2 linked regions of the Arabidopsis thaliana genome follow. The protein of the gene in region 2 interacts with the protein of the main gene of each other region in a biochemical or structural test. Each region holds a gene or a part of one and is shown on either strand. Other genes may lie near its edges. The genes, in order: AT1G48900 and CAO.

Region 1 (5,717 bases), on a different chromosome or scaffold from region 2:
AAGTAACTGCTTGAATTGAGAGGGAAACAATGGCTTTGTAAGAATGTCGGCCAATTGATTCTCTGTTCTTACATGAAGGGTCTTCTTAACTTGGCTAAACAAGCGATGACCTAATGCTTAACGCTTAGAACGCCTAAATTGGGGTCTAGACGATTTTAGGCGGTTTAAACATTTATAACATTAAACATTATACATAAAAATTCTATAGAAGTATTTATTAGAAGAATAAAATATGAAATTGTAAACATAATTTAGACAAGATATTTATTTACAATGTAAAAACTTACATTAGGAAGAAAGAAATTTGATGCATTTTTTTCTCAAGTTAGGCATTCAAAACTTACATACTCCATCCAATATGAAGGGGAAGCATTGAGTATATTTTCCTAGTTAAATATTTTCTTTTTATTTAAATTACCCTTTTTCCTTTTTATATATTATTTAGCTTTCTATTTTTTTTTTATTTTTTTTAAAAGGCATAAGAATCAATTGGAAAATCTAAGTAAAATATAAAAGTAAAAATTCAAAAAAAAAAAAAAAAAATCTCATAAGAGTGAACTAAACTAAACACTAATATGAATGCTCAAGCAAATATTGATCAAAATACTATTACAAATATGACTCTTAATTTATTCTTCTATTGTTTGTTTGTTCTATGTAATTTCGATTCAAAGAGAGTCAATCTGTTCAAAAGATGATACAGTTTTGTTCACCCAAACTCTTTTGATATAAATTTTTTTTGGTTTTCAATATATAATGTCCACGACTGGACCCTAGACATTATTTTGTTACCAAATCTCTTTTTGTAAAATTGGAGAAAATTTGCAAATATTTTACAAATACAAAGGGGAAAACTCTAATAATGACAACGTAAGAATGTCTAGTTTTTGGTGTGCAAAGGAAGGAAGAAAGATACTACTTGTCTCCGCCACCGAACATTCCCATCATGTCCTTGCCGGAACCCATCTGCTTCATTAGACTCTGCAGACCGCCCATGCCGCCAATCTGCTTGAGCATCTGAGGTGGGAGGACCTTGCTCATGTGCTGTGCGTTCATGTTTCTCGAGAGTGCACTCATATCTCCATTCTTTGGGATCTTGAGTCCTTTCATCTTGCTCCATATCTTCGCTAGCCTCTTGTACTCTTCCAACATCTCCATCACTTCTCTTACTTGCCTCCCTGACCCTCTTGCTATCCGCATCATCCGTGACTCGTTAAACACCTTTGGGTTTGAGCTGTCCAGTTCTGCACAAACCACCCATCACATTTTTGCTCAGAACTCTGATTATTTCTACTGATACACTTTCTCCAAATAAGATATATTATTATTGTTCTTACCATCATTTGTCATAGAATCCATCATTGTCATGTACCGCTTTATCTTCGCCTGGCTTTCTTTCTCATGTCCTTTCGGCATCATTTCAGCACTAATTCCAGGCAGCATTGAGAAAACCTACACCCCCACACAACCATCTCACACGTTTTATCATCAGTCCCTTGAGCTGTTCAAGCCTAATAATATTTGAAATAAAGATACTGACCTCCTTAAGTGGACCCATGTTCAGTATGTTCTGGAACTGGTCGTACATAATTCTCAACGTAAAGTTACCCTGAGAGAGCTTTTCCAGAAGTTCAGGCTGTTGATCTTTAGGTACTACCTCTTGTAGCTTATCCACGAATCCAGACCAATCACCCATTCCTATTATAGATAAAATTATCAAGATTCTGACTCAACAACCCATGAAAAGCCTTTGAATACTCACAAATGCTAAATCAATGCCATGATAATTACCTAAGAGACGGCTGACAAATGGTTTGACGTCAAACACTTCAAACTCATCCATATGCTCTCCTGTTCCGATAAATATCACAGGACTTTTCGTAGCTGCAACACTAACAAAATGAAAAAGGATCAAATTCACTTTTCCAACTGGAGAAAACCTACAAGAATTTCATATTGACCATTTCAAGTACATAGGACGATTCAGTAGCTACAAGATACTTACGCGCTAAGAGCCCCACCACCCTTGGCATGGCCGTCCATCTTAGTAATAATTACAGCTCCAACAGCAACACTCTGCTTAAAGGCTTGAGCTTGATCAAATGCAGCTTGACCAATACTGCTATCCATAACAAATATAACAAGATCTGGTTTCTGTAAAGTGAAAAGACCATGATCAGAGTCTGCAACATCAACCAGGAACAAACAGAAGACTTCAAGGCAACAGAGCATACCGTTGCTTCAGCAACTTGACGCATTTCTTCAAAGAGAGAAGCTTCTTGTTTATGGCGACCACTGGTATCAACAATAATGAGATCACAGTTTTCTTTCTTAAACGTATCTACTCCCTCAACAGCAATTTTCACAGGATCGGATTCCGTGTAGCTGCAAGAATCACAACTCAGTATTAGCACAATCTGCTACCACAGTACGCCCTAGAGCATGGTTTTAATCCAGAATGTCTTCTTCTTTTTTCATTTCTTTGTGTTACTGTCATTGAAGTAAATCCAACTCTACAAATAGCACAGTAGCACTAATTGCAAATAGAAAAAGAAGAGACCACAAGACCTCAAAAGATTCATTTATGCATACTGTTGAACTATTCGACAAAGATGTAAAAAAAAATTAGAGTGGCACAGTGAAATGAGTTCCGATAAAAGCGCAAGAAAAAAGAGGGAAAAGGGCTTAAAAGAACCCCTAAAGGTAAGTGGCACGCAGAGAACTAGAGAAATCTGACGAAACCTACTGGATGATAGGACAAAGAAACATATAAGTAACAGAAGTCCTTTTCAGTCCAGATATATGAAGATACTGACCTAAACCAAACCTCGAGTCTAAACTAAACCTATTTCATAACTTGCCTCTACCGTTCCAAAGAAAATTCAAATCATTTTTTTACATACACTCCTATAAGTAAGCTAACAAAAATCCTCTGGAAATACCACCAAAGTTCTAAAGAGCACCGAAGAAGAAAACTGATAGTAAGATAAATCTTCATAAAAAAGGAACACCACAAAGAGGTTGATGAGTACCTTCCATAAAAGGGGATCTTAGCCTTGGTAGCATTCTGTTTCAGCTGATCGAACGCACCAGCCCTGAAAGTATCCGCACAAACCAAAGCTGGTTTGTATCCTTTCTTCTGATGATAATAAGCATACTTAGTACAAGTTGTCGTCTTTCCAGCACCTATAAACATAATCACACAAAAAAGTTGAGATTACATTCAAAAACAAACCCAATTTGAACCAATAACATAAATAGCATCATACAAAGAGCTCACCTTGTAATCCAACAAACATAACTACACTAGCTTTAGCTTTTTTAGGAGCAAACGCAGGCTTCCCTGGATCCAACATCTTACAGAGTTCACTAAAGATAGCCTGAGATAAACAAACCCAATTACATCGAATTACAAAAATCGATCAAAGAAACAGACTTTGTGGAAAAAATTGAAACCTGTTCAATGATCCGGCGCTTGTTGTGACCAGCTGCTAGATCTTCAAGATTGACGATTTTCTTAATATTACTCTGCATCTCTTTCACAAGGGGAAATGAAACATCGGATTGAAGCAAAGCACGAGTGATCTCGTTCAAGCATTCATTCAAAGCCTTCTCATCGATAATTGTCACATTGCTCATCTGCTGTATCGCGCGGGTAATCCGCCCGCCTAGCTCCGCCAACACCATTTACGCTGCTTTGTGAATTCAACAAAAGCTTATCGGAGGAGAAGAATCAGATTTGGGGGAATTTAGAGCTAGGGTTTTGATCGAAGAGATCTTTGGTCGCGATTGAGATAACGGAGAGAAATTGAGAACTTGATCCGAGGATCTTAATTGCTAATTCTTCCTATTTCCATAAACCGGTACCGGTTAGGAAAAGAAGCAAATCTAAATTAATGGGCCTTACGAAGTTCACAACAGGCCCAATGCGTATACTTCCGATTTCAAAACGAACAAATTGTAGAGGAATAGTCCATTTCGTATATATCCAAAATTCCATTACTAATAATAACTAACATTTATTTGATGAATCCTATATAGCGGATAAATAGACTCGTTCTTAGTAATCTTGAATCCTTATAGAGGGTATACATGTACTAGGGTTTTTCTTGTGCTCAGGGCGGATCTAGGTTGGAGGGAGGTTTACTTTATAGATGTTTGTTTGTAAAAACATCAAATAACAATGATTTAGCACAAATGTTTTTTTGTTTCTACTATTACTTCTTCCTTTCCTAGGTTCGAGACTTGTCAAAGGCATATTCTCCTTCTAATTACCTTCTTTTTCTTCCACCACAATCAGTAATGTAATTTTTTCTTCATTTAAATTTTGAACATTCATTTTTAAATTTTGTTTAAATTACTTTAATAATTACTTAAAATACGTCTGCTTATATATTTTTAATAAGTTTGATATATATGAAAATGAATACCAAAATTATATATATACACCTTCATAAATATATTTGGACACCTACAGGTGAGATATAAATTATAGGTATTGATGAACTAAACATTTTTTGGGTTAAAACACTACATATTTTATCACAAATTTATTTTTTAATAACAATTAATATAAAGGATGTGTTGGCAAAATAGTCACTTTTTAAACTTAATTAGGAAAGTAGTCACTTTACTATTCATAATTTGCAAAATAGTTACTTTTCACTGTTTGATTCGTACACTTGGATTATACATCACTTTTAGTGTACAAATGTAAAGTGTACGCTGTGTATTTTTATATATATTTGTACACTAAAAGTGGTGTACAATCTAAGTGTACGAATCAAACAGTGAAAAGTGACTATTTTGCAAATTATGAATAGTAAAGTGACTAATTTTCCAATTAAGTTTAAAAAAGTGACTACTTTGCAAATTAACCCTAATATAAATATATATATACATAATAATAATTTTGATAAATATATATGTATAAGTAAATGAATAGTGCCCTATACTAAATGTTTCTCTAGATCCGCCACTGAGTTGTGCTTGCTTGATTCAGAATTTTTACTTCAATCAATGTGTATCTCTTCTTTTCAAATGTTATTAGTAGCTTAGAATTTACAGGATCTATGTGAAATAAACTTTTCTTATTATTTTGACTACCATATAGTCCATATGTATATTGGTTCTCTAGGGCATGTCGCTAAAGACAGTTACAAGTGATTGGATAAAAAATTTAATTTGAATTTCATAGTTGTTCTATACTGACGCATGAATACTGATTTTGAAGTTTCGCTTCCCAAAATCCCACATTTTGTAGACTTGTTTCGAGTAATAATCCTATGTGAAGTTTTTCTTGAGGTCCTCGACAATATTTTGAGGGATTATGACAAAGGTAGAGCTTTCACTTACCTAAACAGAGTTGTGTTTTTGTTGGCTTCCAAAACTAGATCAATAGAGAATAATTACCCTAAAAATAAATAGTAGAATAAGAAAGATATGTCTGAGAGATCCACTAGCGGAAAGGGAGGCTTCCCTTGAATTTTCTTGTCATAAGGCTCCTCACGACCACGAAGGAGCGATGTCTTGACATTGACCAAAAAAAACAAAATATTTGAGAGAGTTTAGAGTTTTCTTTATTTTCCATTTAAAAATATACAAATCGTGTATTATAAAGTGATCTATTTTTGAAAATAATAGTTTTGTTTTATTTTGTGTAACCATAGAGATGGTATAATGTCATTGATTAGAAAATGCTTTTATATTATCATTAT
Region 2 (4,450 bases):
GGATGCCATGGTTCTCCTACAAACCGGTAAACGCCTCGCCTCCGCCGAGTTCCGTCGCCGGAGTATTTGCTGGTCCGACGATAGCTTCCTTCTCCTCTCCGAATCCTCCTCTGCTTCTTCTCCACCACCCGAGAGCGAGAACTTCACCCATCTCCTCGCTCACATCAAGCTTCTTCTCCGTCGTCGCGCCGCTGCAATCGCCGCTCTCGACGCTGGACTGTTCTCCGAGTCGATCCGTCACTTCTCCAAGATCGTCGATGGCCGTCGCCCTGCGCCTCAAGGATTCCTCGCCGAATGCTACATGCATCGAGCCGCCGCTTATAGATCCGCCGGTAGAATCGCGGAAGCGATCGCCGATTGCAATAAAACCCTAGCTCTTGAACCCTCGTGTATCCAGGCGTTAGAAACCAGAGCCGCGCTTCTAGAAACGGTCAGGTGTTTTCCAGATTCGCTTCACGATCTAGAACACTTGAAGCTTCTCTACAACACCATTTTACGCGATCGGAAGCTTCCGGGTCCGGTGTGGAAGCGGCACAACGTGAAATACAGAGAGATTCCTGGGAAATTGTGCGTTTTGACAACGAAAACGCAGAAACTTAAGCAGAAAATCGCAAACGGAGAAACTGGGAATGTCGATTATTACGGCTTGATCGGAGTCAGACGCGGATGCACCAGATCGGAGCTCGATCGAGCTCATCTATTGCTATGTCTCAGATACAAACCCGATAGAGCCTCTTCTTTCATCGAACGGTGCGAGTTCACCGATCAAAACGACGTCGATTCGGTTAGAGATCGAGCCAAAATGTCGTCTCTGTTGCTTTACCGTTTGATTCAGAAAGGATACACCGCCGTGACAGCGATCATAGCCGAGGAGCAGAGGAAGAACGCCATTGCTCACGCTCAAAAGATTGAAGAACGCAAACCGGTTGAAAAATCCGGTTCTATTAAGAGAACCGGAAACGCTGAAACGAAACCGGTAAATTCCAATGCGTACCAAGGAGTATTCTGTAGAGATCTCGCTGCGGTTGGGAATCTACTAACCAGGGCTGGTTTCAACCATCCAATCCCGGTTAAATACGAAGCGCTCACCTGCTAAAAAATATTGAACCGAATTTTTTATCCTACCATGTCAGCCACTGGAAACGTCGTCGTTTCCGTAGATTCGTCTTCGGACAGAAAAACAAATCATTCAGCCGTCAAAAAAGAAAATAAAATAAGAAAATATATATACATTTGATGTATGAATACAAATGAAACAATGTATTTAGGTTTGGAAGATTATTCCAACTACAAGAAAATTTTGTCACTTTACTTTTATCTTCAATGTTCGTCTCCTTTGTTTCTTCTTCATCTTCATGTGCATATAAAACGACAGAAGCTTGATTTGCACGTAAATTAAAATACTAGTATCAAAACTTTTTTTTTCATTTTATTATCAAAATTATCTCTTAAGCTATTGAGCACTAATTTATTTTTTATTATTGAGTTCTCGAGATTTGCCTAGAAATAGTCGATGAGTCTGGCTCACGTCAGTAATATTCGGATGAGTCCTTATCTATAAAGTTTGGCTGCCATTTGATGGTATTGGGATGATTAATTTAATTAGGCAAATAAAATATAGATGGTGAAAACTAAATAAAAACTATTCACTTGCTGTATAATAATGTTAATACTCATATCATGTAAATCACTGAAGTGCAAATTCAAAAAAAAAAAAAAAAAAAAATGGTCTGCTTGCCATTTAAAGATGTTTAAAGATGGAGTAAGTATATATACACAAGTCGTAAAATCAAACACAAATAATATATTGACAAACTCATATATCATAATGTATACATACCAATTTAAATCCACAAGAAAATATCATATGAATGAGAAAACCAACCACATTTACAATTTTACTCATATTTATTTTATTGTTTTATATTTTTCTTTTCTTTTTGATGAGAATGTCTTAACACAATTATCTAGTATATAAAGATTTTTTCCAAAAAATAGAAGAACCTGTTGATTTTCTAAAAGTAGAAGAAAATAAGTGCAGTCCATAAAATAAAATCCTATAAAAATGTTAAAACTAGATTCTTTTTTAAAAAACTAAAATTTGCTGCAGACATCTAAAATTTTCGAAAATGATTGGGTGGCTAAGATTTCTTATCCACTAGAAAATCCAGTGAGTCCCGTTAACTCTCTTCTCTTCTCTAGTCTTGTCTTCTATTATGCAAAAGGTCTTCTTGGCCATGGATACTTGTGCTCTAGTAATCCATCAGTCTCTGTCTCGCATCAAACTTTCTCCTCCCAAATCTTCTTCTTCTTCTTCTTCTGCTTTCTCCCCTGAATCCTTACCGATCAGACGGATCGAGCTGTGTTTCCGAGGAGCTATATGTGCCGCCGTACAAAGAAACTACGAAGAAACGACCTCCTCCGTGGAAGAGGCAGAGGAAGATGATGAGTCATCATCATCGTACGGAGAAGTGAACAAGATCATTGGAAGCCGAACGGCGGGGGAAGGAGCCATGGAGTACCTTATCGAGTGGAAGGACGGCCATTCTCCGTCGTGGGTTCCATCGAGCTACATCGCAGCAGACGTAGTGTCGGAGTACGAGACACCCTGGTGGACGGCAGCTAGAAAAGCCGACGAGCAGGCCCTGTCACAGCTCCTGGAGGACCGAGACGTCGATGCCGTGGACGAAAACGGCCGGACGGCTCTGCTTTTCGTGGCAGGTCTGGGGTCGGACAAGTGCGTAAGGCTTCTGGCGGAGGCTGGAGCCGATCTCGACCACCGAGACATGAGGGGAGGCTTGACGGCGCTGCACATGGCGGCTGGTTACGTGAGGCCGGAGGTGGTGGAGGCGCTGGTGGAGCTGGGAGCTGATATTGAAGTGGAAGACGAGAGAGGGTTAACGGCGTTGGAACTAGCGAGGGAGATTCTGAAGACGACGCCGAAGGGGAATCCGATGCAGTTCGGGAGGAGAATTGGGTTAGAGAAAGTGATCAATGTCCTGGAAGGACAAGTGTTCGAGTACGCCGAGGTGGATGAGATCGTAGAGAAACGAGGGAAAGGCAAAGACGTTGAATATCTGGTCAGATGGAAGGACGGTGGAGATTGCGAGTGGGTGAAAGGTGTACACGTGGCGGAAGATGTGGCTAAGGACTACGAGGATGGGCTGGAGTACGCTGTAGCGGAGAGTGTGATCGGGAAGAGGGTGGGAGACGATGGGAAGACCATCGAGTATCTTGTCAAATGGACTGATATGTCTGATGCCACTTGGGAGCCTCAGGACAATGTCGACTCTACTCTTGTTCTACTCTACCAACAACAACAACCAATGAATGAATGATTGATTTTGATGATTACATTCTTCTCAATTTGCTTCTTTCTCATATGTGTTGGTTCATCTGACCGGTTCGGTTGGTACGTACCGGTACATTTTCATTTTCTTTTAAGATGTGATCTTGATGGTTTTTGGCCTTTTGGGGACACTATTTGATTTTATATCCATGCTTTGAATTTTGCTTCCCTTTTTGGGGAGATTCATGATGCTGGCTGACTTGCTCTTTATCGTCCCAGGTTTAGAGAATACATCGTCTTAGGCTTTTCTTTATCTCAAAACCCATTTACATTTAATTGGGCCTATATATTTCATATAGGAAGAGAGTACATGTAAACCCAATACACAACTTTTATTTATGGGTCCGTTTCTTGTAACATTTGTTGGTGATAAAAACAACTTCTGAAGAGTGATAATGTACAACTGCACTTTGCGATTAAGGAAATTATAGAAAGATACAAAGTCTGAATAAATGACTAGAAAATATGAATAAGTAGTATCCATTCTTCTCTAATTCAACATCATTTTTTTTTTTTTTTTTTTTTGACGATATTCGATGCATTGTGTCTATATGAGAGAAATTTTGGTTTGTCAGTTAATGGCTAGACTTTTATTATTATGAGCATCTAGATTTTCAGTGCATGTGATGTTACGTTGATGATGGACATAAGGAGACAAAAAGGACGGAGTTGATTTAGTACACATTTTCGTTTCTTTGTGAATACAACGATCGCCTATTTTTCGTTTGTAATTTTCCTCTTAATTCGAGAGGGGCCTCTAGTCATGTGTGTTACTTCTAGTTATAGTGACATGAACGGATGAGAAAAGTTTCTTTTTGTAAACAACATGCGTACGTAAATCAACCAAATATATTTAGTATAACAACCAAATTACTGTTGGACAACCAACCAAACAACAATTATGTAGATTATAGATTAGAGAAAACAAGGAACTAGGTCGATTAACCGCGACCACATTAGCCAAGTCCTCCAGTCGATTAATATAAATTGATGCCAAATATATTAGTTTTCACTGGGTTTTATATTATACTATCAGACCACAGAAGACATCACGTCACAGTTAACAACACTACATATTTCAGATTTTGTATGAAACGTAAC

Evidence for each region.
Region 1: the proteins of CAO (region 2) and AT1G48900 form a complex in vitro, tested with the Arabidopsis thaliana proteins (one study listed by BioGRID).

What each region holds. Positions count from the first base shown.
Region 1 is NC_003070.9:18,084,057-18,089,773, forward strand, and holds AT1G48900 (Signal recognition particle, SRP54 subunit protein), read right to left. Parts: upstream 3,879-5,717; 5' UTR 3,688-3,878; coding exon 3,457-3,687; intron 3,381-3,456; coding exon 3,281-3,380; intron 3,187-3,280; coding exon 3,033-3,186; intron 2,386-3,032; coding exon 2,235-2,385; intron 2,155-2,234; coding exon 2,006-2,154; intron 1,893-2,005; coding exon 1,792-1,892; intron 1,699-1,791; coding exon 1,541-1,698; intron 1,453-1,540; coding exon 1,338-1,452; intron 1,245-1,337; coding exon 916-1,244; 3' UTR 659-915; downstream 1-658.
Region 2 is NC_003071.7:19,470,565-19,475,014, forward strand, and holds CAO (chloroplast signal recognition particle component (CAO)), read left to right. Parts: upstream 1-2,008; 5' UTR 2,009-2,216; coding exon 2,217-3,338; 3' UTR 3,339-3,823; downstream 3,824-4,450. Other genes in the region: AT2G47440 (Tetratricopeptide repeat (TPR)-like superfamily protein), read left to right, coding at 1-1,096.